Linked DNA regions of Notamacropus eugenii. The protein of the gene in region 1 purifies or fractionates together with the protein of each later gene. This does not show direct contact. Links are inferred from orthologs where the notes say so. Each region holds a gene or a part of one and is shown in the gene's direction. Other genes may lie near its edges. The genes, in order: MTA1, HIC1, BCL11A and CHD3.

What was found.
Region 2: the proteins of MTA1 (region 1) and HIC1 purify together in Homo sapiens (affinity purification with western blotting; 3 studies listed by BioGRID). This does not show direct contact. The link is inferred for Notamacropus eugenii from reciprocal best matches to the Homo sapiens genes MTA1 and HIC1.
Region 3: the proteins of MTA1 (region 1) and BCL11A purify together in Homo sapiens (affinity purification with mass spectrometry; 4 studies listed by BioGRID and IntAct, counting the BioPlex papers as one, with this or other methods). This does not show direct contact. The link is inferred for Notamacropus eugenii from reciprocal best matches to the Homo sapiens genes MTA1 and BCL11A.
Region 4: the proteins of MTA1 (region 1) and CHD3 purify together in Homo sapiens (affinity purification with western blotting; 7 studies listed by BioGRID and IntAct, with this or other methods). This does not show direct contact. The link is inferred for Notamacropus eugenii from reciprocal best matches to the Homo sapiens genes MTA1 and CHD3.

What each region holds. Positions count from the first base shown.
Region 1 is NC_092872.1:324,142,631-324,150,479, reverse strand, and holds the start of MTA1 (metastasis-associated protein MTA1), read left to right. Parts: upstream 1-4,803; 5' UTR 4,804-4,881; intron 4,882-4,992; exon of another isoform or gene 4,993-5,201; 5' UTR 5,202-5,346; coding exon 5,347-5,374; intron 5,375-5,551; exon of another isoform or gene 5,552-6,049; coding exon of another isoform or gene 6,050-6,056; intron 6,057-7,849. UniProt on the Homo sapiens protein: Transcriptional coregulator which can act as both a transcriptional corepressor and coactivator. Acts as a component of the histone deacetylase NuRD complex which participates in the remodeling of chromatin.
Region 2 is NC_092873.1:40,121,954-40,130,039, forward strand, and holds HIC1 (hypermethylated in cancer 1 protein), read left to right. Parts: upstream 1-4,986; 5' UTR 4,987-5,110; coding exon 5,111-5,147; intron 5,148-5,618; coding exon 5,619-7,807; 3' UTR 7,808-7,938; downstream 7,939-8,086. UniProt on the Homo sapiens protein: Transcriptional repressor. Recognizes and binds to the consensus sequence '5-[CG]NG[CG]GGGCA[CA]CC-3'. May act as a tumor suppressor. Involved in development of head, face, limbs and ventral body wall.
Region 3 is NC_092872.1:644,360,479-644,368,579, forward strand, and holds the start of BCL11A (B-cell lymphoma/leukemia 11A), read left to right. Parts: upstream 1-4,920; 5' UTR 4,921-4,984; intron 4,985-5,011; exon of another isoform or gene 5,012-6,542; 5' UTR 6,543-6,659; coding exon 6,660-6,714; intron 6,715-7,671; exon of another isoform or gene 7,672-8,101. UniProt on the Homo sapiens protein: Transcription factor. Associated with the BAF SWI/SNF chromatin remodeling complex. Binds to the 5'-TGACCA-3' sequence motif in regulatory regions of target genes, including a distal promoter of the HBG1 hemoglobin subunit gamma-1 gene.
Region 4 is NC_092873.1:78,011,375-78,018,705, reverse strand, and holds the start of CHD3 (chromodomain-helicase-DNA-binding protein 3), read left to right. Parts: upstream 1-4,065; 5' UTR 4,066-4,106; coding exon 4,107-4,371; intron 4,372-5,370; exon of another isoform or gene 5,371-7,331.

The sequences.
Region 1 (7,849 bases):
TGTATACATGTTTAGTATTGATATTACTTCATTATCTATGGTACCTTTTAGCAAGATGTAGTTTTCCTTCCTTATCTCTTTTAATTAGGTCTATCTTTACTTTTGCTTTGTCTGAGATCAGAATCACCACACTTGCCTTTTTTTTCTTTACTTTGGCTGAAGCACGCTAGATTCTGCTTCAGCCCCTTACCTTTACCTTGTGTGTATCTCTTTGCTTGAAGTGTCTTTTTTTTTAAACAAGATATTGTAGGATTCTGTTTTTTTATTCCCTCTGCTGTTAGCTTCCATTTTGTGGGAGTTCATCCCATTCCTATTCATGGTTGTGATTACTGTGAATTTCCCTCCATCTTATTTTTCCTCCTGTTTGTACTCTTTCATCTCACCCTTTCCCTTCTCACCAGTGTTTTGTTTCTGTTTATGCCTCTCCCAATCTGCCCCCACTTCTGTTGGTCCCCAACTCTCCCCCTTTTACTTGATTTCCTCCCAACTTCCCTTTCCCTGTTGGGTAAAATAGATTTCTATATTCAACTGATTATGTATATTATTCCCTCTTTGAGTCACTTCTGATGGGAGTAAGGTTTAAGTAATCCCTATCACCCATTCTCCCATCTTCCCTTCCACTGTAATAAGTCTTTCATGCCTCTTCAAGTGAATCAATTTACCATTCTACCTCTCCCTTCCTTCTGCACCCAGTATATTCTTCTTTCCCATCCCTTAGTTTTTTTTGTCATTCCCTCAAATTCACCTCATACCCATGCCCTCTATATATATTCCTTCTAGTTTTACTATTAGTGGTAGAGTTTTTTTTTTTTAACTTGTTGATTATATTATTTAAAATGCTTCAATCTGTATTCAGAACTGTATTCAATTCTTTCTCTGGGGATGGATAGAATTTTCCTCATAAGTCCTTCAGAGTTGTCTTGGATTATTGTAATGCTGAGAATAGCTAAGTCATTCACAGCGGATCATCTTACAATGTTGCTGTTACTTTGTACTTTGCATATTTCACTTAACATCAGTCCATGCAACTCTTTCCTGGTTTTTCTGAGAGCATCCTGCTCATCATTTATTACAGCACAATAGTATTCCATCATAATCATATACCACAATTTGTTCAGCCATTCCCCAATTGATGGGTAGTGACAGAATTCTTATGAATTACAAGTATCAGCTTCCAAGGTAGGGATATATAAACAGTTTAGTTCTATTGAATCCCTTATGTTTTCTTTTCCCTTTTCTAGGTTTCTCTTGGGTCTTGATATTGTAGATCACATTTTTTTGGTTCAATTTTGGTCTTCTCCTTATAAAAGTTTGAAATTCTATTTCATTGAATGACCATTTTTTCCCTTGAAATATTATTATGTTTAATTTTGCCTGTTAGGTGATTCTTGGTTGTAGTCCTGCTCCTTTGCCTGTCTTTCAGTTTTTCTTGTCTTATTGCTATAGCTAGTATTTTCAGTACAATGTCAAATAATAACAATAATGGAATTGTTGCTTCACCTCTAATCTTATTGGAAAGGCTTCTAGCTTATCTCATGAGAGGGTACATTATAAACTATTGTTATACAACTTCAACCAGGTCCTCACATTAGCAAGGAAATCCTTTTATTCCTCCCTAAATGATTCCTTCACTTTCTACACATGCTTTGTCAAGTTCTCTTATTCTCCTTAAGCTTCCCATATGTTTCCCTCCTCCTTCTTTCTTAGCTGAAGACTTTACCTCTTACTTTTCTAAGAAAATCGAGGCCTTTCAGCATTAAAACCTTCTCTTTTTCTAAAAAAACCCAAAACCTTGGTATCATCTCTTTTCCTTTTTCTCTAATCTTCAACAATAAAGTGGTCTTTCTCCTTGTTAAGGCCAATTCTTTCTATAAGACGCATCCCCTTTCATTTTCTCTAGAAGATTTTTCAGTTTCAACAGTCCTCTTTCTCTCTTTTAATCTTAAGAAACTCCCCTATCTGTTCATTTCCTATTGTTTTCAAACGTACCCAAGTCTCTTCCATCTTTAGAAACCTTCACTAGACCCTTCTATCTCCTCAAACTAATACTCTTTATCTCTCCTTCCTTTCTCACACTCTTACACTCTTTTCCTCCACTTTCTCATTTCTCAAATTGATTAATTTTTCAACTCTTTATTATTTGGCTTTTGATATAATCATTACACTGAAATTCTCTTTCCAAAGTTACCAGTGAATGCAATAATGTTCTTTTTTCAATCCATATCCCTTTTGACCTATCTACTGCATTGGATACATATTTTATAGAAAAAATTGAAGCCATTCATCATGAACTATTTCTCTCCTTTCTTTCATCTTCTATACATGCCTTCTGTCACTATATCTTCCTTCATCTGTCTTAAAAAAAGGTGTCCCTCTAATCCCATTCCATCCTGTCTTCTCCAAAAGACTGCCAGTTCTCTCATCCCTACTCTTTCATTTATCTTCAGTGTTTCCTTGTCAGTTGGTTCCTTCCCTACTGATTACAAATGTGCTCATGTCTCCATCATCTTCAAAAAGACCTCACTTGATCCTTCTATCCCTACTAGATATCATCCTGTATTTTCCTACCCTTTGTGTCTAAACTCATTGAGAAAATCATCTGCAATGGGTGCCTTCACTTTTCTCCTCTTACCTTTCTCTTAATCCCCTACAATCTGGCTTCCAATCTCATATTCACCAGAGATCTCCTCATTGCTAAATCTACTGATCTTTTCTAAATATATATTCTTTACCTCTCTGAAACCTTTGACACTATCAATCACCCTCTTTTCCTTGATTTATCTTCTCTCTAGTTTTTTGGGACACAATTTTCTCCTGGTTCTTCTCCTCCTACCTTTCTGACTGCTCCTTCTCAGCCTTCTTTGCTGAAACTCTTATCTAAATCATACCCTCTAATTGTAGGTTTCCCATAGCGAAACATCCTGGATCCTCTTTTCTCTCTTTATACTACTTCGCTTGGTGGTCTCATCAGCTCATGTGGATTTAGTTATCATCTCTATGTTGATGATTCTCTCATCAGATAGGTATCCAACTCTGACCTCTAGAATATTTGAATATTCAAATGCCTTTCAAACATCTCAAACTGAATGTCAAGCAGACATCTTAAATGCATCATATCCAAAACAGAACTCATAGCTTTCCCTCTAAACTCTTCCCTTATCCCAATACCTCTTCTCTATTATTGTTCCCTAATACTGCCCTATGACTACCATCCTCCCAGTGACTTAGGCTTGCAGCAATCTAGAAGCTATCCTCCACTCCTTACTGTCTCTCACAATCTATAACCAATCTGTTGCCAAGACCTGTCCATTGTACCTTTTATCCTCTTATCTTCTCTGAGATTGCCACCACCCAGGTACAGGCCCTCATGACCCCACATTTGGACTTTTCCAATAAACTGCTGATGGGTCTGCCTGGCAAAAGGCATTCCCATTTAGGCCCTTTCTACATTCAGAGGAAAAAGTGATTTTTCTAAAGTAAAGGTCCAACCATATCACCCTTCCCCACCACCCCCCATTCAAAAAACTCCAGTGCTTCCCTATCACCTCCAGGATCAAATATGAAATTATTTGGTGTTCAAAGTCCTTCACAACCTACCCCCTTTTTTCCCACCTTCCCAGTCTTCTTATACTTTAGACTTATACTTTACACTTACTCTTCAATTTGTGATATTGGCTTTTTTGCTTTTCCATGAACAAGACACTCCAAACAAGATACTCTATTTCTCAGCTCTAGGCATTTTCTTTAGCTGTTCTCCATGCCTGGAAATTCTCTACCTCCTCATCTCTGCCTCTGACTTTCCTAGCTTCCTTCAAGTCTCATTAAAATTCCATCTTCTACGGGAAGCCTTTCCCAATTCCTCTTAACTCTAGTGCCTTCCATTTGTTACTTATTTCCTACCTGTATATATCTTGTTTGTATACATTTGCTTGTTGTCTCTCACATTAACTTGTGAGCTCTCGGAGGGCTGTGTCTATCTTTTGGTCTTTCTTTGTATTTGCAGTGCTTACTGCAGTGCTTGACATTGGAGCTTCATAAATTCTTATCCACTAACGAGAGGTCTTTGAGAGGATCATCACCTACCAGGGGCATTTCAGAGGGGATTTCTGTTTCTGTCCCAGAGAGAATCGTACATCTAAAAAGGTCCTTTTCACCTCTAAGATCATGAGTCATAAGCTATGAATTACAAAGATATTTTCCTTCTTAAACAAATGTTCCTCCTGAATCATTCTTAGAGGAAAGGGAGAGTGGGTGGTCACTAACCTAAGCTTAAGGTGAAACCTAAACCTCCTTACTCTTTGGAATGAATTAGGCTGGCTAAAGGGATTCTATTTTTTCCTTTCTTTCTCTGACATATTAGTTGCTAATATGACAATGAATCCTGCTTTGTGCATTGGGAATGTGTTCCTCTCTTAAAGCCTTGATTAGATTCTCTCTTGGTACAGTATTATATCTGGTCTTATTCATGCTTCATTAAGCTGAGCTCTGCGAGGTCAGGGCCCTTTTTGTTTTTTTTCCATCTTTGTCTACCTCAGCCCCAGCACAGGGCCTTGCACCCAGCACACAGAATTTTGTCCAATGAATGAATGAATTTTGAGAGGCCATGCACACTTGGCCTGGTTCGGTCTATCCTTTCCTTTCTGCCTGGAAAGTAGAGCTCTCCTGCCTGCAGGAGAGACCCCAGCCACAGACTTGGCACAGGCGGGGGCACACAGGAGGCCCCAGCCTTTGGCCAGGTAGGTGGAGTTGTGGTTGCTTTCTTTGTGCCTGCCTGTTTAGGGGGGAAAAGGAAGGAGAGAAAAGAGAAGGCAGAGAGCGAGAGAGCGAGAGACCCAGAGAGACACACAGAGAGAGGTGGAGGAGAGAAGAGAAGAGAGGAAGGTAGGGGAAGGGAGGGGAGAGAGGCGGTAGAGAGAAGAGAGGCCAGGGAGGCCGGGAAGAGGGTAGGGGAGACGAGGAGGGAGGGGCAGGAAGAAGACTGAGGAGGGAGGAAGGGGACAGTTTGTGGGGAGTGGACAAGCAGAAGGGTGAGGAGCTGCCGGGAGCCGACCAGCCCACTCCCATGGGTCTCTAGGGCCTCCCCCTCCCCATTGGCCTCGGGCGGCGGCGGTGGCGGCGGCAGCGCCGGGTGGACCAAGCGCGGCCCCTTTAAAGCGTCCGCCCCCGCCCCCACCCCAGCCGATCGATCCTCCATTTTCCAGCACATTTCCCCCACCTGGAGGAGCCGCCGCGCCACCCTGCGAACCCCGAGCGTCGGGCCCGGGCCAGGCCAGGCCAGGCCAGGCCTCTGAGCCCCCCGTGTGCCGCGCTGCGCCCCCAAAGCCGGAGCCCGAGCCGGAGCCCGACATGGCCGCCAACATGTACAGGGTCGGAGGTGAGCCCCCCTCCTCGTTGCCCCTGCCGCCCCGCGGCCTCCCGCCCAGCTTCGGGCAGAGCCCGAATCGGCTCCCGACCCAGCGCGTCCTCTAGCCAGGCCAGCCCCGACCTGCCCTGGGCCTCCCCCGCGTTCCACTCGTCCCAGCCCCAGGTTTTGCTGCTCCCCGCTCCTCCCCTCCCCCCGGCCGCTCGCCCGGCCTGGATTCCATTCGCCTCCTTTCCCGTGTGGCCCCGCCGGGCCTTCACGGCCAGCGCCCAGATCCTCCTCCCCTCCGCCCTGGGCCCCAGCCATCGCTGCCCCATCCCGCCTCCTGTGCCGGGTCTGAACCTCATCCCCCATTCCAGGCCGTCCGGCTCCCATCTTAGCCACCTCTCCCTCCATCCGGAGGGCCTCTGTCCTTCCCGGGCCCCTCCATCTCCCCACCCCCCGGGGGGCGAACATTCGGACTGGCTGTTGAGAATGTTGGGCCTGGGGGAGGGAGAGTCAGTGAGTGACTCCGGGTGGTTAGAGTGAAGCTGTGGATGCCCCCTGGTCATCTGTATCTTGTTTTCGGAATGAGCTCGTCTTTCTTACAGTTTTATGAATATTATTGGGGGGGCGGGGAGCCAGAATGGGGGATATTTGATACCTGCCAAAGTTCGGAGCTAAAGGTGGGGCTAGAATTGTTGGCATATGAAAGGTAAGAAAGTGGCAGGCATGGGCTGGAGGGGGGGTGGGGAGTGGAGGTGGTGGGGGAGTGGTGCTTCTGGGTTTGTGTGTGTGTTTTGTTTTTGTTTTTAGAAATATGTGTATAGGGTGCTTTGTGATGATCTGAGTTTCACTTTGTGATGAAAGGGAGGTGTAGGGCGACCTAGGTAGCAAAAAGAATGGGATCTACTATGGGGACAGCACTACTACAGCTCTTCTTTTGGATTTTGGCCTTTGGGGAACCTTTTGGTAGGAGCAAAATGCATCGAGGGAATGGATTCTTTAGTTTTAGTGATGGGGGCAGTTGGTGTTGGAATTTTTTTGGAGGGAAAGGTGTCCTTTTTTTCAGGAATAGGTTCTATTAGAATCATTTTCTTGCAGTGAAGCTGGGAAGGGTGGTAAGGTCTATCTGGGAAGGTGTATTGAGGAACAGAGGGAGTTCTTACGTTTTTGTCTTGTTTGTGGTAGAGAGGGTGCATGACAGGATTGCCCATTAGGTTAATGGGGAACTTTAGGATTGCTTATTGCCCATTTGAGAATATTTCAACTACTCCTGAAACATTTAGCTGATATTTAGACTACCTTGGAAGCTTGGAGATTTTCCTTAAAAGTGATTTCTAAGTATACTTAGAATTTCTAAGTATACTTAGTATACTGAGCTACTTCCTAAATGAGGGTCCAACGGCACATCTTGTTGAGTTTAGATGGAGTGGATAGTGCTTGGTGGCTTTAGCTTGGGGAGGGGTAGTTTGCTGAGGAGGGATGGGGGTGATGATGTGGTAACCTTGAAAGAGCATACTTTGTGAAAGTTAAGGAATCCTCTGGCTTAGATTTCCAGTCACTGCCAAGAGTAGTGAGTTAGGGTCACCTTTAAAGACGGTGTTTAAATTGTCACCTATGATATATTTTTACTGGTCCCAAATTTTTGATGATGTACTTTTGGAGAATGATTATGCTAATATATATCTTCTCTCTCATTCAGCACTCTGCTATGTACATAGGCCTTTTCCCTACTTGTCTTCTGTAGTCTTCCTTTGGCAATAATTTTTATGAGTTGCTTCCCCTTTGATTTGCCTTTAAAAGCTCAGGTGTTGGGTCAGAATTACTGGAAATACTTTGGAGTGACAATACTATGATGCAAATAGACACTGGTGCCTTGTTTAGTGACATTAGTAGGAGCAGGACATAGCAGATCCTAAGGTCTCTTGAATGTTGGGGTGGGGAAAGTACTCATACTCCTCCAGTGCCAGTTTCCTGACTTACTTCATGCTTCCTGGGGTTTCCAAAGGAAGCCCAAAGGAGCATGGTTTAGAGGTGCTAGCCATAGAGATCCTGGTTGGGCTTCAAAGGTTGCCTGCCCTTTTAACTCTTCCATCTGCCTACATTTTGGGGAAAGGTGGAGGGTGTCTATAGCAAGGTGTACTAGCAAGTTTGTTCTTATTTTGCCCAGCTCTGTTTCTTCACCAAGTTTTGACTTGGGTAGAAATTTGAACTTCAAACTCAGAAAAGCTTTCTAAAACACTTGACATTTACACTTTGTTTCTTTTCTCCTCTTCCTCTACTCTTAATAATCAGCCTTCCAGCCTCCTCATTCAAGTTAAACAGCCGTATCTGTGACTTCTTAATTGTCCAATTTTTGATGTTTTTTCTCAGTCTTAATTCTTCTCAACCCGCCTGTTGACACTGCTTATCACCCTTTCCCCCTGGGTATTCTGTCTTTAAGCTTTTTGTGACACTCCAGTCTCTTGGTTCCCCTCTGCTTGTCTGACTGCTCTGCTCATCACA
Region 2 (8,086 bases), on another chromosome or scaffold:
TTAAAAAAAGGACGATCATAAACATGCATATGGCCTGGAAGGAGAGCATCCTCATGGGGATGTGGGAGCTGGGGGAGGAAGCCCTGTCCCTCTTTGGCTGAGCCACTAGCTAGGTAGAGTCAGGAGAAAGAAGACTTTAAAGTGAGGCCTGGGGTGGGTGGGGTGAAGGGTGAAAGGTAGATGATGCAAAGGATTGTGGGTGAGGTGTAGGACCAGCACCTTGTTCTTTGCCATTCATTGCCTAGGAGTGTAAGAGATTCATGCAAATGCAGACATCTGTGCTCATCCAATGGTGGGGGAGGCATGGTAAAGGTAAGGCAAGGAGGAGAATGTTCTTTAAGCCTGTGCCTATTTCTCATCTAGTTAGGGAAGTTTCATGGGTGAAATGGAGCCATTGCAATGGATGAGATTAGTTCAGACTAGAAGAAAAAAGATTCTGTAAGAGAAATAGGAAGGGGAGGAGGACGAAGAGAGATGGGTTGAAAATGACCTTTTTTATTGAGGGCAGAGCTATGGGTCTGGTTTCTTGGCCAGATTGGTTAATGTGGTCATCTCAGAGGGAGAGTCAGAATTAGGAGGGGCAGATAGGAATGGAAAGGGATAATGACCACATGAAGAAAACAGGTGTGGGGGAAGGGTGATGGTTCCGACTTGGGCAAGAAGGTTGATGGAGCAAGCAGGCCTGGCTGAAAAGGGATTCCTCTGCAAGGAGCATAATCTTTCTCTGCTTTGCACCCCATCCCCTCAAATGAAAGAGAAACTTGAAAGAGCAGAGATGATGCCCTCCTGGAGAGGGAAAAGGGAGAGAATCAAGTAGGGAATTGATCAAAGCATGGAAGTGGGGTGGAAGGCAAAGGAGGTCTTAAAGAGAAATGGTAGATGTTAGAGAATTAGGAGATATTGGGAAGGATAGAGCCCGGGAATTGGGGAGAGGAGAGAGAGCAGTATTAAATGCTGCTTGGAATATTAAGAAGGCCCTAAGAAGTCCTGGATCCATAAGACTAGAATCTTGGGGGGGGGATTTGGGGAGTAAGGGGAGAGGCAGAGATTAAGGGCTTGTGGAATGAAGAGAGGTAAGTAGAGAGGGGAATAGGGAAAAACAGAGAGGATCAGAGGAAATGGATGTAGGATGAGGGATAGGGACAATGAATGAGGATGGAAACACTGGAAGGCAGGAAAATGGAAATAAGGCAGAGGGAAATGCAGATAGTGAACCAGAAAAAGGATGGAGACAGGAAAGAAGGGGATGGAGAGAAGTAAAAGAGTAGATGGTAGTTGAAGAAGGGCGTAGAGGATGAGGACTTGGATTTGGATAGAGTAAGATCAAAAGATAGGAAAAAAGGTGGATGGAGATAGGATGGAGAAAGGGTAAAGATGATGGAGATAGCCATGAAAGGGATGCTGGATTTAAAGAAGAGATGGAGACAGGGACTAGGGAGATAGAGAAGAGAGGCATGGAGATCCAGGAGAGAAGTGGAGACTGGGAAGGAGTGATAAGAAGAGCCTGGGAAGAGAGGGGTGGAGAGACGGGGTAGAGATGTAGGAAAGACAAGGCATGGAGATGGGACAGTGGAGACAAAAATTTGGGACCCCAAAGCCCAGACCTTGAATGGGGATAGTGGTACTCTTCCTAATCCAGACGGGCGTCTCAAACGGGGAGATTGGTCTGAGCAACAAGGGGGCGGGATGGGGAGTTGTCAAAAACCAGCCCGGAGGTGAATCCGCAGAGAACTGGAAGCACCTCTGGAGGGCGCCGAAGACCTTGGTGTCTGCTCTAGGGGCACTAAAGGCGGTAGCACTTGGAACTTAGAAAATTAACGGGGGATAAAAAAGTTCCGGGCCTCCGGGTGGACCAGGGTTCCTTGAAGACAGCTCTTGCTGTTAGGTAGTCCCTCCACAGCACTGAGACCCTCCAGGCTCTGGGCTTGGGGAAAAGCTCAGGGCAGAGTGAGAACCAGTCACCTGGTTGGAAGGGATCCAGAGAAGAGCCCTGAGGCTCTGTCCGGTGCCCGAGCACCAGAGGTTCCAGGGGAACTTGTCTCCACGCCCGAGGACTAACTTCATGATACCCGCCTATGCCCACCGCAGGGTGACTCAGCTCCGACCTCCCAGTGGGGCCACCAGCTGAGGACAGAACTGGAGGCGGGAGAACACGAAGGGCGCCCCGCCTCCTGTCCACCGCAGCCCCCGGCCCGGTTGCCAGGTTCCCTAAGGCCTTGGAGGAAAGAGATCTGTACAAACCTCATCGGTTACTATGGCAACGTTTCGCACCGCCGCCATCATCTCCGCCCCCCACAACCCTCTCCACTGTAAGGGAGGAGAAGATGGGGGACGGTGGAGCCGATCAGAGGCTTTGGACGCCGAATGCCCAACATGGGGACCCCGCTACCCCAACATATAGGCGAAGTGAGAGGGGGCACAGTTCCCCCCTCTCCGCAGTAATGGGTAGTATAATGCAGCTTCTTCTGTTGTGATGAGCAGGAGGGTTAGGCTAGGGGTGACTGGGCTGTCTAGAAGGGGCACACGGAGATTTTAGGGCTGGGCTCTCTGTCTACGTGTAAAAGACCCTTGTATACCCTGGGCTGCTTGCTGCTCCAAAGTACCCTCGCCTCGCCTCCACAGGAGGCATGATCGTTCTTGGCACAGTCGTCTTCCAGCTGGGGAATCCAGGGCTGTTGCAGGAGGAAAGGGGAGGAGACTGTCCCAAAGGAGTCAAGCGCACCTTGGGGAGGAGAGTATCTCCCTTGTAAAGCGCAGGTTTGAAGCGTGTCTGTCCACACACACAACACACACACACACACACACACACATACACACACACCACATACCCTGCGCCTGGACCCTTAGTGTAAACATTGTCCATTCCCCACCTCTCCCCCAACAAGCCACTCCACCTAAGGGACATCAGTAGAGGCTCAGTCTGTTGCCTGGTCTCTGAGACGTAGTATCTCTAGCACCCGTTGAAGTTGTGAGATGAGTAGGGAGGAGGAAGAGGAGGATGAGTATGAGGCGACGGCGGCAGCGAGTGCGCGTGAGAAGCATTGTGCGGGCGTGAGGGAGCGTCCAGTCTGTAGGAAAGCCTGGGTGCCGGGTGCTCAGACGTGCGTACGCGGATCCCCGAGGTGGGGGCTATTGCACATTCCACACAGTGTGATGGTCTTTGTGTATTCGACTGCAGAGTAGAATTGAATGAAATACAAAAAGTTTCCAGAGCCAGCAAAACCCTCAAACCTCGTTTAGGCCAATTTCCACATTTTACAGAGGAGTAAACTAGGGCCAAGAGAAGAGGAAGTGACTTGACCGAGGTCACAAAATTAGTTGCGGATCGTTCAGTTTGAAGCCAGATCCTCAATCTCTTTGGCAATGTCCACAGTCCTGGACACGCTTTGATTGGGGGTCTCTTTTAGACTCACCTCCCCAATCCTGCCTGAGACACCCCCTTGGGAACTGAGGCTAGGGTGTGTCAGTGTGTGTGTGCGCGTGTGTGTGTGTAAGGGCGCGTGTGCGAGGGTAGGGATGGGGCGCATCCCAACTTTCCCCCATCCCTGACTCCTCACGCTACGCGGGGCCTGGGGCGGCATCTGTCCCGCGAGGCGGGGTCGGTGGGGGTGGAGCCCTCCAGAGACACAGCTGCGAGAGGCGTGGGGAAACGAGGGGGCGCACCTGCGCGCCCCAGGGCCCAGGTGCGCGGGGCCTCCCGGCTCCGAGGTTGCAGTGCTCGCTCGAGGCCGCCAGGTGGCGCCATCCCCCAGGAGCCCAGACTGGCCCGGGCCACTCCAGATAAGAGTGTGCGGAGCAGGCGGCGGGGCTGAGACGCGGCCGGGACGCGGGGAGGACGGACGGGCGGGAGGACGTACCGGCCGGGGGACCGGCGGACGGAGCGGAGCGCGGCCACCTCTCCACCTGGATCAGCCGGCAGCCGGGCTCGGGGCTTCCGACATGCCCCCCAGGTGGGTCCCGGGGCCAGGCGCCGAGATGGGACTGCAGGCTCGGGGTCGGGGCTGGAGACGGGGCTGGGAGCCCGGGGCCGGGGCTGGGAGCCCGGGGCCAGGGCTGCCTCGTTCCGCGGCGCTGCCTCGGGGTTCCGGGGGGAGCGCGGCGCATCCTCTCCCGGGCCGCCCGCCGCGCCGAGTTCACCAGGGGGTCAGCGGCTCGGGGCCCGGGCTCTGCCCGCACATGGGCGGGGGGGGGGGGCGGGCGGAGCTGGCAGCGGGCCGCTGGCCTGGCACGGCCCGGCGCCTGGCAGAGGGGCGGCCGGAGGGAGGGCGGGGCGGCCCGGAGCGAGCGATCGAGGAGCGAGCGCGGAGTCCGGCCGGCCGGCCGGCGGGAGCGGGGGCCGCAGGTAACGGGCCGAGGCGGCTCGGGGAAGGCGGCGCCGCCAGTGGAGTCGGGGACGGGACGGGACGGGCTGGAACCCGGGGCTGGGCGAGGGATGCGAAGGGCCGAGGCGCGCCGGGAGGGGCCCGCTAGCCTGACTCCGGCTCCCGGCCCATCCCAAGTTGAGAAACTTTTCCCAAGTTCTTGTCCCTGGGCAGGCTGGCCGGGCGGAGCAGCCCAGGGGCTCCGGAGCGAGCTCGGGGGCCTCCCGGGACGGAGCGGGCCGGCCGGCGGGCGGGGCGCCGAGGCGATCCGCGCGGGGTCAGGGCCGCTGGGTCCGCGCCGTGCCCGGGGCGCTGCCCCCTCCCTCCCCCGGGAGCTGCGTGGCTCCCCCCTCCCCCCCACCTGCTTCCTGCTGCAGCCTCCTGCCCCGATATAACGCCCTCCCCGCAGGCGGCCCGGGCCCTTCGCGCTCTGCCGGTGGCAGCGGCAGCCGCTCCCCTTCGGCCCCGGCCCTGGCAGCGGTAGCTGCTTCCCTCTCGGCCCGGGTCCCGGTCCGGCCCGGCCCGGCCCGGCGTGGAGGAGCCTCTAACAGCCTCGGCCCGAGCCTGGCCCCCGACCCACTGGCTGCCGCCGAAGCCGATGCCGATGCCGATGCCTATGCCGATGCCACCACCCACAGCATTTCCCCACTAACCCGCTAACTTTTCCCAAACCCGGACTTTTGCGAAATTACGAATTTCATCTCGATCGGCTAATTTTGCCCCCAATGAGACACTCCCCTCTGGACTGAATGACTTTTTCTGAAGCGGATATTTCCCTGAAATCGGGTAACTCCTTCCGAAGCGGAAATTATCCCCTCTTAAGTGGATTTATTTTTGGAAACTCCCCGTTTGCCATCCCTGCCCGGCCCCCGACTTCTGTAGTGGGGCCTTGGCCTTAGGCACTCAGTCCCTTTCTCCACTGGACTCTTCTACCAAGAAGACTGCCCCAGGGAGTGGGGACGAGCTCATTCCCTGCTTCTCTGGTCCCCTCCCTCCTGCTGGGGTCTAGGTCATGCTGTCTCTCGGGCTCAGGTGACCCAGGTCATCAGATGGGGGCCAAGCAGGGCAACTCCCGTGTCCCCCGTCTGAGGCAGGCGGTGTAGAAGGGGGGGCGCTCACTCAAGCTACGCGAGCGGAGTGGGGTGGAGAGAGACCCCTTAAGCATCCGCTCTGACCTTGTCTGTGCTTGTGTGTGTGTGTGTGTGTGTGTGTGCGTATGTTGTGTCGTGTCCTGTCGTGTCGCGTGTGTCCCCACAGGTGGGAGCACAGGGCAGATGATGCTGGACGCAATGGAGGCGCCGGGACACTCCAGACAGCTGCTGCTGCAGCTCAACAGCCAACGCACCAAAGGGTTCCTTTGCGACGTGATCATCGTGGTGCAGAACGCGCTCTTCAGGGCTCACAAGAACGTGCTGGCGGCCAGCAGCGCCTACCTCAAGTCCCTGGTGGTCCACGACAACTTGCTCAACCTGGACCATGACATGGTCAGCCCCGCTGTCTTTCGCTTAGTCTTGGACTTCATCTATACCGGCCGCCTGGCCGACGGCGCGGATGGAGCGGCGGCGGCGGCGGCGCCTGGGGCCGAGCCCAGTCTGGGAGCAGTACTGGCCGCCGCCAGCTACCTGCAGATCCCAGACCTCGTATCCCTGTGCAAAAAGCGGCTCAAACGACACGGCAAGTACTGTCACCTGCGCGGGGGCGGCGGCAGCGGCGGCTACGCGCCCTACGTGAGGCCTGGCCGGGGCCTGCGTGCCACTACGCCAGTCATCCAGGCCTGCTACCCGGGTGGCGCGCCTTCTGGACCTCCGGCGCCGCAGGCCTCGGCCGCGGAGCTGCCTCCAGGAGCCGAGGCGCCTGTCAATACCCACTGTGCTGAGCTCTACGCCTCGGGCCCTGCGCCCCCTCAGCCGCCGCCGCCACCGCCGCCGCCGCCGTCGCTCTGCGCCCCAGAGCGCCGCTGCTCCCCTCTCTGCGGCCTAGACCTGTCCAAGAAGAGCCCCCCGGGTCCAGCGGCTGCCCCCGAGCGGCCGCACCCCGGGGAGCGAGAGCGTGAGCGCGAGGCACCTTCGCGCCACGACAGCAGCCCACCTGGGGCAGTCTACAAGGAGCCGCCGCTCTCGTTGCCCCTGCCTTTGCCGCTGCCGCTGCCCCTGCCCTTCCAGAAGATGGAGGAGGCCGGGCCGCCTCTCGACCCCTTCCGGCCGGGTGGCAGTCCCGGGCCTGAGCCCCCGGGCCGACCCGATGGGCCTGCGCTGATCTACCGCTGGATGAAGGCCGAGCCCGGCCTGGGCAGCTACGGCGATGAGCTCGTGCGAGACCGCGGCTCCCCCGGCGGGGCTGAAGAACCCGCAGACGAGGGGGACTCGCCTGGGGGCCCTCCGTTGCCCCTGCCGCCGCCCCGTTACCCGGGGGTGGGCCTGGACGGAGCCGGGCCCGACGCGGACGACTACAAGAGCAGCAGCGAGGAAACAGGCAGCAGCGAGGAGCCGAGCCCGGGCGGGGGCCACCTCGCCAGCTACCACTGCCCTCATCTGACCTACGGGGAGCCCGAGAGTTTCGGCGACAACCGCTACGTGTGCATCCCGTGCGACAAGGGCTTCCCCAGCTCCGAGCAGCTCAATGCGCACGTCGAGGCGCACGTGGAGGAGGAGGCGCTCTACGGGAGGGCGGAGGCGGCCGAAGCGGCTGCCGTGGGCGCGGCGGGCCTGGGTCCCCCCTTCGGCGGCGGCGGCGGGGACAAGGGGGCCGGGGGCCCGGGGGGCCTGGGCGAGCTGCTGAGGCCCTACCGCTGCGCTTCGTGCGACAAGAGCTACAAGGACCCGGCCACCCTTCGGCAGCACGAGAAGACGCACTGGCTGACGCGGCCCTACCCCTGCACCATCTGCGGCAAGAAGTTCACGCAGCGCGGGACCATGACCCGCCACATGCGCAGCCACCTGGGCCTCAAGCCCTTCGCCTGCGACGCGTGCGGCATGCGCTTCACGCGCCAGTACCGGCTCACGGAGCACATGCGCATCCACTCGGGGGAGAAGCCTTACGAGTGCCAGGTGTGCGGGGGCAAGTTCGCGCAGCAACGCAACCTCATCAGCCACATGAAGATGCACGCCGTGGGCGCGGGCGGCGGGCCGGCCGGGCCGCTGGCGGGCCCCGACGGGAAAGCCAAGCTCGACTTCCCCGAGGGCGTGTTCGCTGTGGCCCGGCTCACGGCGGAGCAGCTGGGCCTCAAACAACAAGACAAGGCGGCGGCGGCGGCCGAGCTGCTGGCCCAGACCACGCACTTCCTGCACGACCCCAAAGCGGCGCTCGAGAGCCTCTACCCGCTGGCCAAGTTCACGGCCGAGCAGCTGGGGCTGAGCCCGGACAAGGCGGCCGAGGTGCTGAGCCAGAGCGCGCACCTAGCGGGGGGACCCGACGGCCGGACCATTGACCGCTTCTCCCCTACTTAGAAATCCCTTCACCCCAGCCCCGAGCGGGGACTGCACCGCATCCCCCCTCGCCGGGTGGGGTGGGAAACGGGGGCGATGGAGGGAAGTTCCCGCCCCGGGAGGGACAGCGGCAACGGCAACGAGCAACCGAGGCGGCCCCCACCCCACGCTAACCCCCGCCCCTCCCCGGCCGGCCCCGAGGCCACACCGGGCGGAACCGCTTTGTGCCTTGGCCCGGGCAGGGGGGGAGGCCCGGGAATGGAGTGGGGGGTGGGGGGTGGGGGTGGGAAAGGGAGATTT
Region 3 (8,101 bases), about 320 Mb from region 1:
GATTTAAAGGTACATTCATTCACATTTACAGACTAAAGTTTGCTTGAGCAAAGTACTGATGATTTCTGGGGAAAATAATGTAACTTGTATAGGTTAGGGTGTCACTGAGGTTGTGATGTACTGTACAAAAGTTATGAGAGTGTGTGTTCAATTATCTAGTGGAGCAAGAAAGCAGATGGATTGGCATTTTTTCTATTGACATTGCTTCCTATATAAAATTTCGGTAGCTTAGTTAGGTTCAGTATTTAAGAATAAATGCTAATCTCTAAATGATAATGATCCTTTATATGTGAATAACACTTTACTGTTTTTAGAGGGCTTTCCAGTGTGTCCTTTAATTAGAACAAAGCAAGGTAGGTATTTCCATTAGTATTTCATTTTACTGAGAAAGTAAGGTGACTTGGCCACAGTCACACAGAAGTAACAAATGCATAAAAAACCAAACCAAACCAAATCAACACACAAACAAAAAAAAGCAAAACTCATGTTCCTAGAGTCCTGACAAGAGAATTGGGAACCCAATGCAAATAAAAACAAAAATGTATTAGAAACTGATTATGTTGCTGGTGTACTGAGGTGTACTGAAGTTATATGGACAAGATTGTGTTTTCTTATACATCTCCTATACCTTCTCCCCGCACCCCCAACATGAATTAGGGGACAGTTTGAGGACACGATTCAAGCTCAGTCAGTCTTTCCCTCTGCTATTTAACATTTCCACTCATTTTTGTGATCTGCACAGTCCTTTAAAGACCTAGGAAAAGCTAGGGAGAGAGGATCTGATGTTAAGTTGTAACAAGAAAGTCTTCTCGAGGTCTGGTTTGCTCAGTTTAAGTTCATATGCAGCCTACCTTCTGTAAACCCCTCTCAGTGTCCTAAATAATGACAATTAGAACTGCAGGCTCCTAGGCACAATCTGGGGGAGAAGGTAACAAAGTACATAGTTGAACAAGGGTAGATCTTGAGAAAAGTAGCAAGGGAGAGCTGCCGCACTCTGTGGTTTTCCTTTGTCACATTTCAATTCCTTTCAAGAAGACGGTGTTCTTTCTACCTTGTCCCAGCCCCTATCCATTTAGCCCCCCCACTTAAATTTCATTTGCCCTTATATTAATAACTCCACCCCTTCTCTTCTCTATCCTCCCAAAACCCTATACACAAACTCTTCCAGTAACCCCCAAAAGTGTTCCCAAGGTAGAATAAAGAGGCATCTTTTAAAAGATCATTGCAAGTCCTGTTATCTCTCAGATATTGGAGGTGAAGAATGGGGGAGGGGAGAGAGGCAGGGACTGATTGTTTCAAAGTATGTATTTATTTTTTAGTCAATAAAAGTCCCCCCACCCCACCCCACTAAAGTCAGGCAATGAATATTTTATTTTAGCCTTGTAATTTCCATCGAGACAGATCTTTTAACTCTTTCGCCTCCAGCTGAGCTCAAGTCCCCAGCGCCAGGCAATCCTCCCCACTAGGACCAGGGAACTGTATTAAGCTCACTTTCAGGAGCTGTTTGTTGACCACATTCACGTTCTGAGCCCTGAAGCTAAAAGCACTTTACACCATAAAATAAAAGCACTGTCTTTTTTTCTAAAAGGTTACGTCTGGAGGCCACGATGCTCATACTTCATACAGAAAACTACTGAAAGGACTATGAAATCCTCTATGATTTACGCTCTCCCACTGCATTAGGGTATAGATCTACTCAGCTCTAAAAATACGATGGAGTTTCTAACCGACGTGAATATATGTGCATTATTTCAGAAAGTCTGTTAGAAAACTTGTCAACACATTATAAAGCATAAACCAGAACTTGGCTATTAAATACGGAGATCAGAGGCAGAATATATACTGCAGGAAGTCCTGGGAAAAGTCTCCCCCATTGGGGGGGGGGGGGGGAGGGAAGGAGCTATTAGCAAAGAGTTTATACACAGTATACACCAAAGGTTTAGAAAGAGCCCACGGACCATAATTACAACATAAATGGAATCAGCAAAGGCTTTACAACCCTAAACGTAGTTAACTGGACTGCCAGAAAATAATTTTAATATTGTCATAATTTATTACTCTCCAAAAGCCACTTCAAGAACGGTAAATATACTCATTGTATATCCAAGTGTGCTCGTTAAGCTTCTCTTTCAACCCCCCCTCCACAAAACACCTGCATCATTCATCTAGGCTTACATTAAAAAAAAACAAACTCTTAAAAGACCTTTTTAAAAAAGCCCCCCCCCCAAATTCCCCCCCCCAGCCCCACCCTTGGAAGGTTAAGTGAACTTCAGGTGAAGTGGGGGAGGAGGCAGCGGGGATGGTAAAGAAGAAGGCAGTACTCGTGGAGTATGGATCAGATGCCAATACAGTCATGTTAATAATCCAGACGGCATGAAATATGGCTTTAAGGGGAGGGAGGGGAGAGTTTCCATTTAATTCCGGGCATTTTATGATGGTAAAATTAAATATATGTTAATGGTGGAAACGTTACTGGTTCCCTCTCCACTGACACACACGAAAAGCAGCTGCAAAAAATTGGCTTTTTAATGTATGTTTTAAGATGTGGTTTAGGAAGTAACCCCCTGGAATCTCAAACAAGTGCAGTAATAAAGCAGACCTACTTGTAACTAAGTGCTTAATTTCCTATGATTTTTTTTAAAGAAAATCAATAAAATGTTGCCAGTTATTTATTGGAAATAACCACAGATAGATGCCCTGATATGTGCTGGCTTTAGAGAGCGCACAATTGTGTAATGAATTGTAATTCAGAAGACTGTTAAATGTGAACCACAGAACCTTTCAGAGGTAATAAAGTCATTACTTTTTACACTACATCCAGCCCTGAAAAGCTTTATATACGCCATTATAGATAAATCATATATATATATATTTTCACGACACACAGACATCTACTTATCTGCCTCCTGTATATATGGACTTTTATGGATAGATGGTACAATAATCAAATATGAAAATCCTGGGTTCTAAAAGAATGAGACAGTTTGCTTTTGTTACCTAAAATGCCTTTTATTGTGTTTAGTGCATTTTTTGAAAAGGAACACTCCGTTGCACTCCACTCCCCCAACCTTCTTTTCCCCCAATGCATTCCCCCTTTTCCGCCACCCCTCACTCAAGCAATGACATTCATTTGGTAGCTCAAAGGCTGTTTTTATAAAGAACAAGACAAAAATAGATAGTAGTGTAAGATAGATGCTGACCTGCTCTGAAGAGCCCATGAAAAAGAGGAAAATCATGTCAGGTACGTGCTACAGAGCTTTACTGCAAATGATTCCTTCCTGATTCTTAACAGGATTTGAGGGTTTTTTCTCTCTCAGAGAACAGGAAAATACACACGCACACACACATACACACACGTGCACGCACAACAAACCGCACACAGACAATCCCCCCACTCCTTCCTTTCCACAACTCTCCTATTCCTGAACATCAAAAACCTTTTCTTCTCTCAGAGGCTGCACGAAGCCTCCTTGGAATGAGAAGCCAGTCATTTTGAATCGGTTTAAAACTTTAGGAAGATGACAACCCGTTTAAACAGCAGCATGCAAGCCTACAAGACTGAAAGGTACAGATGCGCGCGCGTGCGTGCACAGTGTGTGTGTCTGTGTCTGTGTCTGTGTGTGCGTGTGTGTGCGCGCGCGCGCGGGCGAGCAGCTCAGCCAGGGGGTGGTTGAAGCTGGAGAAGCACCAGATTTAGGTAAGGTTTCCAAAAAAAGTCCACCAAGCATTTCACTTTACAGGGCCCATCTGCCCCCGCCCCCCCGGATTGGGAATATAATGGCTAGAAGAAAATAGGGGCTGTGCTGTGAGCCTTGAGGGAAGGAGAGGAAACAGCTCCTCATTCATTCAGGGGGCACACCTCCCTCCCCTTCCAGCTTTCCCTTCAGTCGGCTCCCCCCTTCTCCTAAACTCCTCACTCAAGTCTGGTCCTAGGTCTCACCGTGGCTTCACTCCATTCCTTCCTCTTCTGTTCCCCCTCCCACTTCCCATTTTTTGGGGGGTGGGGGGAGGAACAGAAGAAAGTCTGGCGGCTGGGTGCCACAGCTAGGGAGAGCAGAGGTGAGACGACTTTGCAGGCACGTTTCAGAATAAACTTTCCAATCGTAGGGGGTGCTGTTGCTGTACATTTTACGTAAAACTGAAAGTATCCCACGCCAGAGAGAAGCACGCTTTTTGACAGCGGTGGCGGCGGCAGCAGCAGCCTATGAGTGTGTGTGTGTGTGTGTGTGTGTGTGTGTTTGTGTGTGCGTATGTGTGTGCGAGCTCGCGGTCACGAGCATTAAAGAGACAGGGGTTCATTTCCAACAAGTCTCTCCTAATTTCTAAGTTTCATCAAGGGAAAAAAAAATTAAAAAGGAGAAAGGAAAGCTATCTGAGCCGTGTGCTTTCGGGGTGCGGTGGGGGGAGGGAGGAATGCATGCTTGTGGGAAGGGGGCTAAGTTCCAGCAAGGTTGGCAACCACTTTTCTTTTCTTCCCTGCTGCTTTTGTGAGCAAACTGTGAGATTCCTATTACCCGTTTTCTTCCCCTTTCTCTTTTCCTCTCCCTGGGTAATGTCATTAATACAGCTTTGCGTGTTAAAATATTTCTTAGAGTCACGGTGTAGCTTCTCTTTTCTCCAGCTACATTCATTCATTCATTGATTCATTCATTCTCCGAGTGTTTCTCCCTCCTTCCTTCCTCTCCCCCACTCCCAGTTTTTGAGTGAGGAAGACGTCCTTTTCTTCTCTCCCAGTCCATCCCAACAACAGATCGGTTTCCCCTCTGCTTCTAGTTTGTCTCGATGGGTTATCCTTCATTTAAAAAAAAATAAAGGCAATCTTTTTGGGGGAGTAGTTGGCACCCACACGCACACACATACAAAGCCCCCCCCCCTTCCCCCGCTTCTTTCCTCCTTCCCCCCACCCCCCACCCCCCCAGCTGGTACCTTACAACCTTGCAACTCGCGGGCTGCTCTCTTGGCCATGGGTGCTCAGTATTAAAGGGTAAGTTTCGGCGCGGCCGAAGCTAGTGCCGTTACCGCTGCATCTCCCGCCTCCAAGCTGCTTATCGCTCCTTCCTGAACGATTTTGCTCTCCTGGACTCTTCCCCACTCTTGTCAGTAACGGCGCTGAGTCTCAGAGTTGTGTTCCTGTCTTTATTTATTTATTTACCCTTCTCTCTCTCTTCCTTTCCGGGCCGCAGCACCTCGCTTTCCTCAGATCCGTGCTTTGCAGTTTCATTGACATTGTCCCTTCTCTTGGCACTCAGGCTTCCTTAGCCACCTATTCTGCCTGCCTTTGGGGTGCAGGGGGATGGGGGTAAGTAGGGAGATGCCGAGTTGGAGCTTGGGCTCCCCCTTTCCCCCCATCTCCCTCTCTGGTCGCTCCCCCAAACCTCTAGGATCTCCTAGTCCTTCCTCTCTCCTTTACACGCAGAATTTCTCCTTTCCTCTCTCCCCAACCTGGGAGCCCGAGGCTCCTGAGAGCCTCTGCCTTTCTGGCTGCTACGGTACACAAACTTCTTTTGCAATTAATTCTTTACCACTCTCCGCAACACCCCCTCCCCAACCTCGGGGCTTTTCTCCTTGGGTAGTAACTTCAGAGTTCAGTTATAAACTTCTGGTTTTTCTTTTCGTGCTGTTTTTTTTTGGGGGGGGGAGAAAAAAGTTTCAGAAGTGCAGATTGATATCGGCTTTCACTTCTGCTCCAGGATGCATGCACGCGGGGCTGTGTGTGAGGCTAGCTGGGGAGGGGGGACGTGGGTGTGTGTAAGGAGGGGGGGTGTCCTACAGCAACTCTACCTGGTCGGCGGCCCCCCCGCCCCCGCCTTCTTTTGCTCCTCTGTCGTTTGTCTTCATCCCTTTCTACGTACACCTTTGGCGTATTATTTAAGCACTTCTGTCTCCTGTTTTAACCTTTCTTTTTAGAGGGTGGAGGAGAGAGGGGAGGACTTTCCCCTCCCCCCCAAACACACACCTCTCCCTTCCCCCTCCCCCTTTCTTTTCTTTCCTCCTGGCCATGCCGTCTCCTCCTGTACTCGGCTGCGGCCACTTGTGAGCTCCATGCCCCCGCGCCTCCCCTGCCCCCCTCTCAGCACTACCTCCTCCCTTCCCACCCCCCCATTAGGCAGCTTGTGTCTGGCGTCTGGAGAGCCCCCCCCTCCACCTCCCCCTCCCAGCACTGTCCATTGGCTTGTCCTGGTCTCTTTTTCATGTCCAGCCCCTGATGTGTGTCCATTGGTGTTAGCCTCCCCTTCCCTCCTCCCCTTCTCTCCTGCTCGCCCTGCCCATGTTTTGTATGTCTCTGTCCATCCAGGCTCCTGACGTTCAAGTTCGCAGGGACGTCACGTCCGCACTTGAACTTGCAGCTCAGGGGGGCTTTTGCCATTTTTTTCATCTCTCTCTCTCTCTCCCTCTCTCTCTCCCTCTCTCTCTCCCTCTATCTCTCCTCTCTCTCTCTCTCTTTTTTTTTTGCCCAAAAAAAAAGCCATGACGGCTCTCCCACAATTCATCTTCCCTGCGCCATCTTTGTATTATTTCTAATTTATTTTGGATGTCAAAAGGCACTGATGAAGATATTTTCTCTGGAGTCTCCTTCTTTCTAACCCGGCTCTCCCGATGTGAACCGAGCTGTAGTTCACCAGCCGCCGCCGCCGCCGCCTCCTACTCCACAACCCACCATGTCTCGCCGCAAGCAAGGCAAGCCCCAGCACTTAAGCAAACGGGAATTCTCGCGTAAGTAACCCAATAATAATAAATAATAATAATGATGATGATGATGATAATGAGGATGATGATGATAGGGTCGGGAGTGCCAAAGAGAAGATGGGAAAGAAAGGGTGCGTGTGCATGCGTTTCATTTTATTTTTGAGAAGGGGAGAAAAGACAACATTTAAGTGAGGTGTAAAGAAATTAAAAGGGGGAAACCCACAGCACCTCAAACCGCAACCGTGCTTGCACTTTTGGAGAAGCGTGCACCTCTCTTTTCGTTATTTTCCTTCCCTCCTCTCTCTTTTCGCCTTCTTTTTCTTTATTCCTCTTTGCGAAAAGAAACACTAGGATTTCTCCTCCCTCCCCCCTTTTGCAAAATAATTAATGATAATAATGAGAGTAACTCCCAGACAACCCCGGGGAACAGGAGAAGGGGAGAGGGATTTCTTTCTCCAACCGCCGGAAAGAAAAAAAAAGTCAAAGGCTTAAAAAAAATCCTGGGAAGAAAGAGGTGAGACTGGACATCGGACGCCGGCTCCCATGGTCAAGTGTGGACCAGAGAGAAAGTAATCACAATAATGCTAATGAATGGAAAAGTGGGACTTTTAGGGAGGGGGGACGTCCCCCCTCCCCTCCTCCCCAGAAGCCTTGTTGAGAAAAAGAAAGAGGTGGAGGAGAGAGGGGGTGAGAGGGAGACGAAGGGTTTGCGTTTGCAACGTGCGGGTAAAAGTGGCCGGTCGTTGCCTCCTTTTGTTTCCGCTCCGAGGTGGGTGTCTGTCCCGCTGTCTTTTGTGCCTCGCTCCCTCCCTCCTTCTATTCCTCCCTCCTCCTCCTCCTCCTCCTCCTCGTCCTCCTCGTCGTCGCCGTCCTCCTCCTCCTCAGCCGCCGCCGCTGCCGCTAAAGGGCAGCAGGGGCAAGGGGGTGGGGGTGGGCTGGGGGAAGGGAGGGTGGGGGAGATGTGGCTGCTGCCTGGACTCGGTTGGCTTGGGTTGCTGCCGCTGCCGCTGCCTCTGCCGCCTCTGCAGCCGCAGCTCGTGCTGGCTTAGCTCTTTGCTGGCTTTCTTTCTCCAGGGCCAAGGAACGTGCCCCTTCCCCTTCCCCGCCCCCTCCGCTCCTCGCCCCGCAAAAGACACAAAACGAGCTTGGCAAAATGCAAGACGATTTTTATTTTTCCTGTCCCCAAACAGAGAAGCTAAAAACCTCAGTAGATCTACTCTGAACCGAGATTTTCCAGCGTTGCCGTCCGCTCTCCCTCTCCCCCCTCCAAAAAAGAGGAGAAAATTCGCACGCACTGAGCACAAGGGGAAAAAAAATCAAACTAAAAACCGGATCAGACCACAACCCCCCAAACCCCTTCTCTTACAAACTTAGTCTGTAGGCTGCACAGAGAGGGAGCGAGGAATTCCCTCCT
Region 4 (7,331 bases), on another chromosome or scaffold:
GGTAAGAAGTGGGCCCGTGCACAGACAGAACAGAGGGACAGATAATAGAAATACTATCTCTAGGCACCTACATGGAAAGAGAGGAGAAAACTGTGGAAAGATTGATCTGGAAAACAGAGAAGTACAGACTATAAGAAACCAAATAGAATGGCTGTCAGCGGCAAGCAAACACCGAGAAAGTAAGACAGACAGATGGACTGACATAAAAGACAGGCAAAGTGACAATCAGCCACACAGAAAGACTATAAGGGAAAAGCATAATGGAAATGAGAGTTGCAGGAAAACTAAACAAGACAGGCAGTAAGATGGGCAGGCAGAGACAAACAACAGAGGTAGCAGGTAAGCAGAGAGATTTAAAGACTGAGAGACAGAGGCAGGCAGTCAGAAGCAGAGGCAAACCAAAAGGCAAATGAGTAAATAGACTAAACAGAAGAAAGCAGAGAGAAAGAGAGGCAGGTGAGCAGACAGGTGGGCAGAGAAAGTGACAGACAGAGTCAAGGACATCAGAAATGATACACCAAAGGAAAGGCAGACAGACAGATGGAGAAGGCAGATGCAAAGAGGCAGCAGGAAGAGGGCAAGCAGATGGGGGTGGGTAGAGGGATAGGCAGAGGACTGAAACAGAAATAGGGGACATGGAGTGGATGAGGGAGACAGGCAGGGGCTGAGGATACTGACAGGAAAGGTAGGAAGAAAGGAAAGACAGACACTCAGACAGGCTAAAGAGAAGCAGATAAATGGAAAAAGCAGATAAAACGGGGAGGAAGAAGCAGGCAGATGCTAAGAGAACACACAGACCAAAAGGCAAGCCTGAAAGGTACAGAGGACCTTTCAGAAAAGTAAAGCAAAGGAGAGGAAAATAGACAAGCAGAGAGAGATGTTTGCTGACTAAAAAAAAAATCTAATGGGGAAGGCTGGTAAAAAAAAGAAGACTGAGAATTACAAGAAATAGGTAGTCAGACAGATTAAGAGATGCAGGCAAGCAGACAGTAGCTAAATGAGGGCAGGGAACAGACAGTGGGATGCTAGCAGGCAGGTGGGGTGACAGAATGAGAGAGAGAGGCTGACAGACAATAGACACAGACAGACACAGATTGACAATAAGAGTTTATCAAGCAGAAAGACACAGAAGCAAGTAGATAGGCAAGGCAGAAAAGAGACCAAGAGATGCAGGCCAGGAGGCAGACAAGACAGCCAGAGAGAGGAAGGCAGACATGATAATAGCAGCAAACAGGAAAGAAAGTAGGCACGCAAATAGAATAGAAAGGCAAAAATCAAAAAGACCAGGAAGCAGGCCTGTTGGTGGAAGGGAAGAAACAAGTAAAAGAACAGAGAAGGAAGCCTAACTCACAGACATATACTCACAGAAGTGCTCCCACAGAAACACCCTGAGACACATACTCTTAAGCACCCATATCCAGAGATCCTGACATTTAACCCCAGACGCACAGGCACAAGTAAACATACATGAACATACTTAAAACCAGATGCACACATGCAAAGGCAAAGGAGACAGAATATAGTATACACACATGCTCTTATGCACACTATGACCCATAAGCACATAAAGACTGATATACACAGCCAGAACAAAATGATAAACAGATAGTGAGTCCAAGAATCACTGAAAGATGACAGTTGAAGAGTTACTGAGACAAGAGACAGCATGAGAGACAGCCCATGAATGAAACAGAAACAAAGGGACAAGCCCACACAGAGAGACAAAAAATGAGGGAAACTCCTTACACAGAGAAAAAAGTAAGAAACATATATTTTACACAGATATACAAAACTAAACAGAAACAGAGAGCTTGAGACGTAGAAATAAAACCAAGAGGCCAGGATGGAGAGTTGGGCTGAGGCTAGCAGAGAAGGAGACAAAAGATATTGAAACCCAGATTAAGAAAAAAAGGGAAACTGAGGCCCATAAAGTGAAGGACAGAGCCCTAAAATGACAAATTCTTGGCCCTCAAGAAAAATTATGCAAAAGTTCATCCTAGTACCTGTGGGAACATTTTTTTATGTGCATCTAAAGAGAAGTTGCAGTTGTCTGAGCTGGAAGGTTATGTCTATAGTATGAAGTAAGAGACTCATGATTCTAGGCATGTTTCAGGAAAAGATGCAGAAAACAGAACCGATAAGGAAGGGGCAAAATGAGGTCTGTGGGAAAGAAGAGAATCACGACTGGAAAGGGGTGACAAGCTCAGAGCTGAAGTAATCACTAGTCCCATCCCTTTCTCTACACCCCCATAATGGCAGTACCTCTGTCAGCAAACCTTTTAGGGGAAGTACTTCTCTTCTTTATTGATATCCCAGGTACAGAGATACTTGGTGCTTCCTCCTACCTGAGTGCAGGGCTCCCTTCCTACCCCAACTGACAAGCTCTCTTGAAATTTAACTTAGCTTCCTTGTTTGATTCACTTAGGTAGCCCCTAAAAGAGAGGTTTCTCCTGACCCCTTTCCAATTTCCCCCATCAGTATCTCATTCCTATTTTAAGAGGCCGTTTAGGTTGAAGAACTGGATGAGACAATCAGATACAAAGGTCTGATTGCATCCTCTTCTCTTTCATTTTTTCTTCACCTTAGCTAATTTCCTCTCACCTACTGTACTTCAATTTCTTCCACTTTGATGGAACTGAAAATGGGGGTGAATGAAAGAAAAAGGAGTCTGTATTGGAGAGGAGCAAATAAATTTTTTTTCTTTTTCAGATCTTGGTGCTCCCCATCCACAGCAAAATCCATTCTCTGTACCAAGATTTCATAGTAAGTTTATCTGGGAGAAAAGGAAAATGAAATGAAAATATAATTTAAAACAATTGTAAATTACTGAAATGATTTCAATAAAGAATAATCAAACATAAAACTCAGATTGAATGAAAAAACTCAGATTGCTTTCCATTCTCCACCCCCAAAGGGTTTCTATCATTAAAAAAGAAAAAAAAATCTTATAAAATACGTAAAGTTAAATGCATTTCAACTTTAACAAGGTATATGTATACGTATATATATGTATTTGGCCAGATTTATATATAAATATATGTATTTCATCTTTTTCCTTGACAATGCCTGAAGGGAGAAAAAAAAAACCCTTCACATCAAACCACTCCCTTTCTGAAGTACTTAAGGAAAAAAAGCTTTTCTTTTGAGGAGGGAGGTGGAGAGAGAAGAGACTAGTATAGAAAAGAAAATTTTAAAATCTAGTTGGACTAGTATCTAACTAGTTAACCTTTAACAATTTATGCTGATGTCAGACTGAGCATGAGTACTGATTAATGCCCCCCCAAATATTTTTATAGGTGTGTGTTGGGGGGGGAGGTTAGTCAGCAGCCATTTTTGTTTTATGCAGAAATCCTTCATGTTTCTTCCCCCCCTTCAATACACAAGGAAAATATCTATTAATCTGTTTACTAATCAGCTATGAAAAAAGGGAGACTTTTGTGGGTTTCTGGGTAGAGAAGGTTTTAGAGATGAGAAGGGGGGAACTGGAAGCATTTCTGTTGGTGGGGGTGTTAGGGGATGGGGGCTGAAAAATGAAATATTAAGCCAGCCATTTTGTTTTAAAAGCAGATTTTTTTTTTCCTCTCTCTTTCTTCTTGGAGGGGGTGGCGGTGCTGGAGGGGGGGTTGTTTTAAAAATAATTTCAGGGCGGCCATCTTAGTGCTTCAGCTCTAGGAAATATTTCTCAGCGCCCCCCTCAGAATTTCAATATATTTAAAACAACGAAGAGGGGAGTAAGGGGGGGAAGAGCAGAAAAACTTTTATTCATATAATATATATATTTACCCCCCTTTCTCTCTCTTTTGGTCTCCCAGGGAAGGGGAGGAGAAAGTCCCCCCCCTTTAATTTTTCTCAATAGTAAATTGTTTTTGGGAGGCGGTTTCGCCCCCTCCTTAGACAGAAGGGTGGGGGTAGGGGGTGGCCCGGGGGTTTGGGGGGCTGGGGGAGGAGGTGAGTTGGAGGAGGAGGACGACGACGACGAGGAGGAGGAGGAGGAGGAGGAGGAGGAGGAGGAGGAGGTGGTGGTGGTGGTGGTGGTGGTGGTGGTAGTGGTGGGGGAGGCAGGCGGGCGGTGGGTGGGGGGGTGGTGGGGGGGCCAGAGCTACAGGATGGCTTCCCCTCTGAGGGACGAGGAGGAGGAGGAGGAGGAGATGGTAGTGTCTGAGGAGGAAGAAGAGGAGGAGGAAGAAGAGGGCGAAGAGGAGGTGGAGGCGGCGGATGAGGACGACGAAGAGGAGGACGACGAGGGAGTAGTCGGACGCGGGCCGCCGGGGCACGAGCGGGGCCGCGGCCGCCACAGTCCCCCCAGCTGCCACCTCTTCCCGCCGCCGCCCCCGCCCCCGCCGCCCCCGCCGCCCCCGCCCCCACCGCCAGGTAAAGACGCGAGCGGAGGACACCCGCCGAACTCCCCCCCCTACTCCTGATCGCCGCCAGCCCAAAGTTCCGAAACCGTTGGGCGCGAGAGGGGGCTGGGGGGGTGTCGGGCAGGCGCGCGCGGAGGAGCAGGGGGTGGGGGTGGAGAGGAGGGCAGGGGAGGGAGCGCGAAAGGCACCCACCGCGCGGACGGAGAGGAGTCGAGTCCGGGGGCGCGCGGACGACGGAGCAGCCGGCCCGCCTGCTTGGCTGCCCCCCCACTCCCTCCCTCCCCGCCCGCCCGGGCCTGAGGCCGGGAAGCTTTCCGGGCCGGTGGGCCGACCTGCTGGCCGAGCGGGCCTCGCCTCCCCTCCCCCCGGCCAGCCCCCTCCCCCCGCTCTGGGGGGAGCCTCCGGCCGCGGCCGCGGCGGAACGCCGGGCGCCAGCTGAGCGGGCGCGCGGACGGAGGAGCCAACTCTTGGTCGCAGCCGGAGGGGGAGGGGAGGGCTGGTGGTGTGTGTAGGTTTGTTTCCCCCTCTTTTCTTCCTCCCTTCCTTTCTCTTCTTCGGGGGATTAGGAGCGATCGAACCCGAGACGACCCCCCCCACTCCCGCCGCGCATTCGGGCCCCGCTTGAGCTCCAGACGTCCCCCCCCTCGGCTGGCGGGGGAGGGGGAGGCGGCGGCGGAGAGTGGCGACGGTGGCTGTGGTTCGGAGAGTTCAAGCCCGTTTGGGGTTTGGCTAAATGTAAAATTAGATGGTGTCCGTATGCGTTTGTGGGGGTCGGCGTGGGGCTTGGAACGGGGGAGGGGTCCCCCCGACCACCCGAGCGCTTGTGTCCGTGAGGGCGCAGGGTGGCGGGGGGACTTTGGACACTCGCCACTGACTGGCCCGTACAGCCCCTCTCCCAAGATCTTGGAAGTGGGGGTGGGCTGGGTGCCTTGAGGGGAAACCAGATACACCCACCGACAACTCCACCTCTTTTGATTCCTTCCCTTTCCCTCCTCCTTGTGATGGTAGGCCCCTCTCTAGCTAAAGGGTGTGTATTCACCCCGGGACTCCCCCCTTCTACTCTGTGAGCCATTGACCCTCTTTTGTCCTTGAGTGACCCCACTGCTGTGGTCCTGGGGCCCCAGGGGTTGTGACTTCCCTGCTTGCCCCCATCACAGTCACCTCTGTGAGAGGATGACTGAGGGATGTGGAACACCTCACCTCCTGTGGTGTTTGTTACTAGAAGTCCCTCACTCCCCTCCCCAGTTTTCTCACACGGGCAGCTTTAGTAACTGTAGCCACTGCTTCGAGGTAACAGTTGCCTCATCAGAGACTCAGTAGCCACCCCATCTCAGACAGCCTTGTGTGGCTAGTTCCAGAACGTAATGTCAGCTTTACATGTAGAAAATGACAGATGGGACACTTTGATCCCTGTGCCTGGGAGCAGACTTCAGTAGCCTTATAGATTTAAAGTTGGAATGGAACTTAGAGGTTATGGAGTCCAGTCCCTTCATTTTAAATACGAGGAAACTGAGTCAAAGAGAGGCTAAATGACTTGACCAAAGTCACACGAGTTGCAAAGAGGTCTAGCTGGGATTCTGACTCGAAATCAAGTCCTCTTAACTACACCATGCTGCCTTACTTGTGTTTGTTTTCCAGCCCCTATTGATGAAATATGCCCAATGTTCTTAATACTGAAATACAGATTAGCGCCATGTATGGCAGATGTGCCTGTATATACTTCAGCTGAACAACAAAAGACGTGTGGGGGTGGGGGGGAGACGAATAGGAAGGAAGAGGGTCCAAAAGGGAGAGAGGAAAGGAGTGTCTTAGTGAACATGAAATAATTCATTATTTTCCCCCAAGGTCTTCGAAATAGGAAATAAGTAGAAAAAATTACCTTGTGGGGAACACGTTTTTTTAAAGTGCAAATGGGAGAATTTGGGAGACAGGTGTCAAATTCAATTAAACATTTATTCAGCACCTACAGTATATTTGCAAAGTGAGAAAGGAAAGAAAGGAGGAAAGATGGGATTAGGGGATGGATTCTTTCCTTGTCTGCTGAGTTCTCAGGTTAGATAATCCTCTTTGGTCATTTTCAAAACTAGGCTAATAAAAGAGGGGAGAGCTGGGAAAGAAAGCAAGAAAGAAACCGTCAGAGGTTGAGGTGTGTCTTTGTTTGGCTCCCTTTGCTCCCTTCTTCTGAAGCCTATTTACCTAATAAATAAGCAGATGTTTGAAGATAATAAATTGTTTCATTTTGGATTTGGAATTAAAAATAAACATTATTCCCTTCTATTTAAGGCAGTTTTGCCTCTGCCTAACCCTTCAGATTTGCGTGAGTGAAACATCCTTGTTGGGTAATTTATTGATGTAAAAAAAACTTTTGGGGAAATATATTTTAGCTCCCCTTCCTTTTTTGTCACCCCAGGTATGAGGAAGGCAAACACCAATCCTAAGAAGTTTGACCCATGTACTTAACTCTCTCCTTCTGGCCCAAACTCCCAAGTGGAATATGAATTTGTAGATTCTGTAGCTCTGTATTGTTTTTCAACCCTGACTGATTTTCCCTCATCCCCATTTTGTTTCACATTCTTAACTGAGTCCAACTTTACCTCTTTCTCCTCCCACCAACCTCTGTACATTGTTCAGTATTTCAAATCCAAAGACTCCTGTGGGGGGAGGGGAAAGAAGGGAGCCAAAACTCAATTTCTTTCCCCTCCCCCTTCTGGCAAGTATAAAGAAATAATATAATATTTAGATGTGATTGCTTAGGGAGGGGAGGGGGGTAGAATATGGGTGGTGTGGAAAATTCTAGTAGTTTCTTCGCAAAAGGCCTGAAAATAAAAACCCACCCTCTCCTTGCAATACGCATGTGCAGGGGCCCTATTATGGTGGTTCGTTGTGGGGGGAGGGAAGGGAATTTGAGAAAAAATAAATATATGTGTGTGAGAGATTGATGGTGAGATAGAAAGGAAAGGGGAGGGCAGG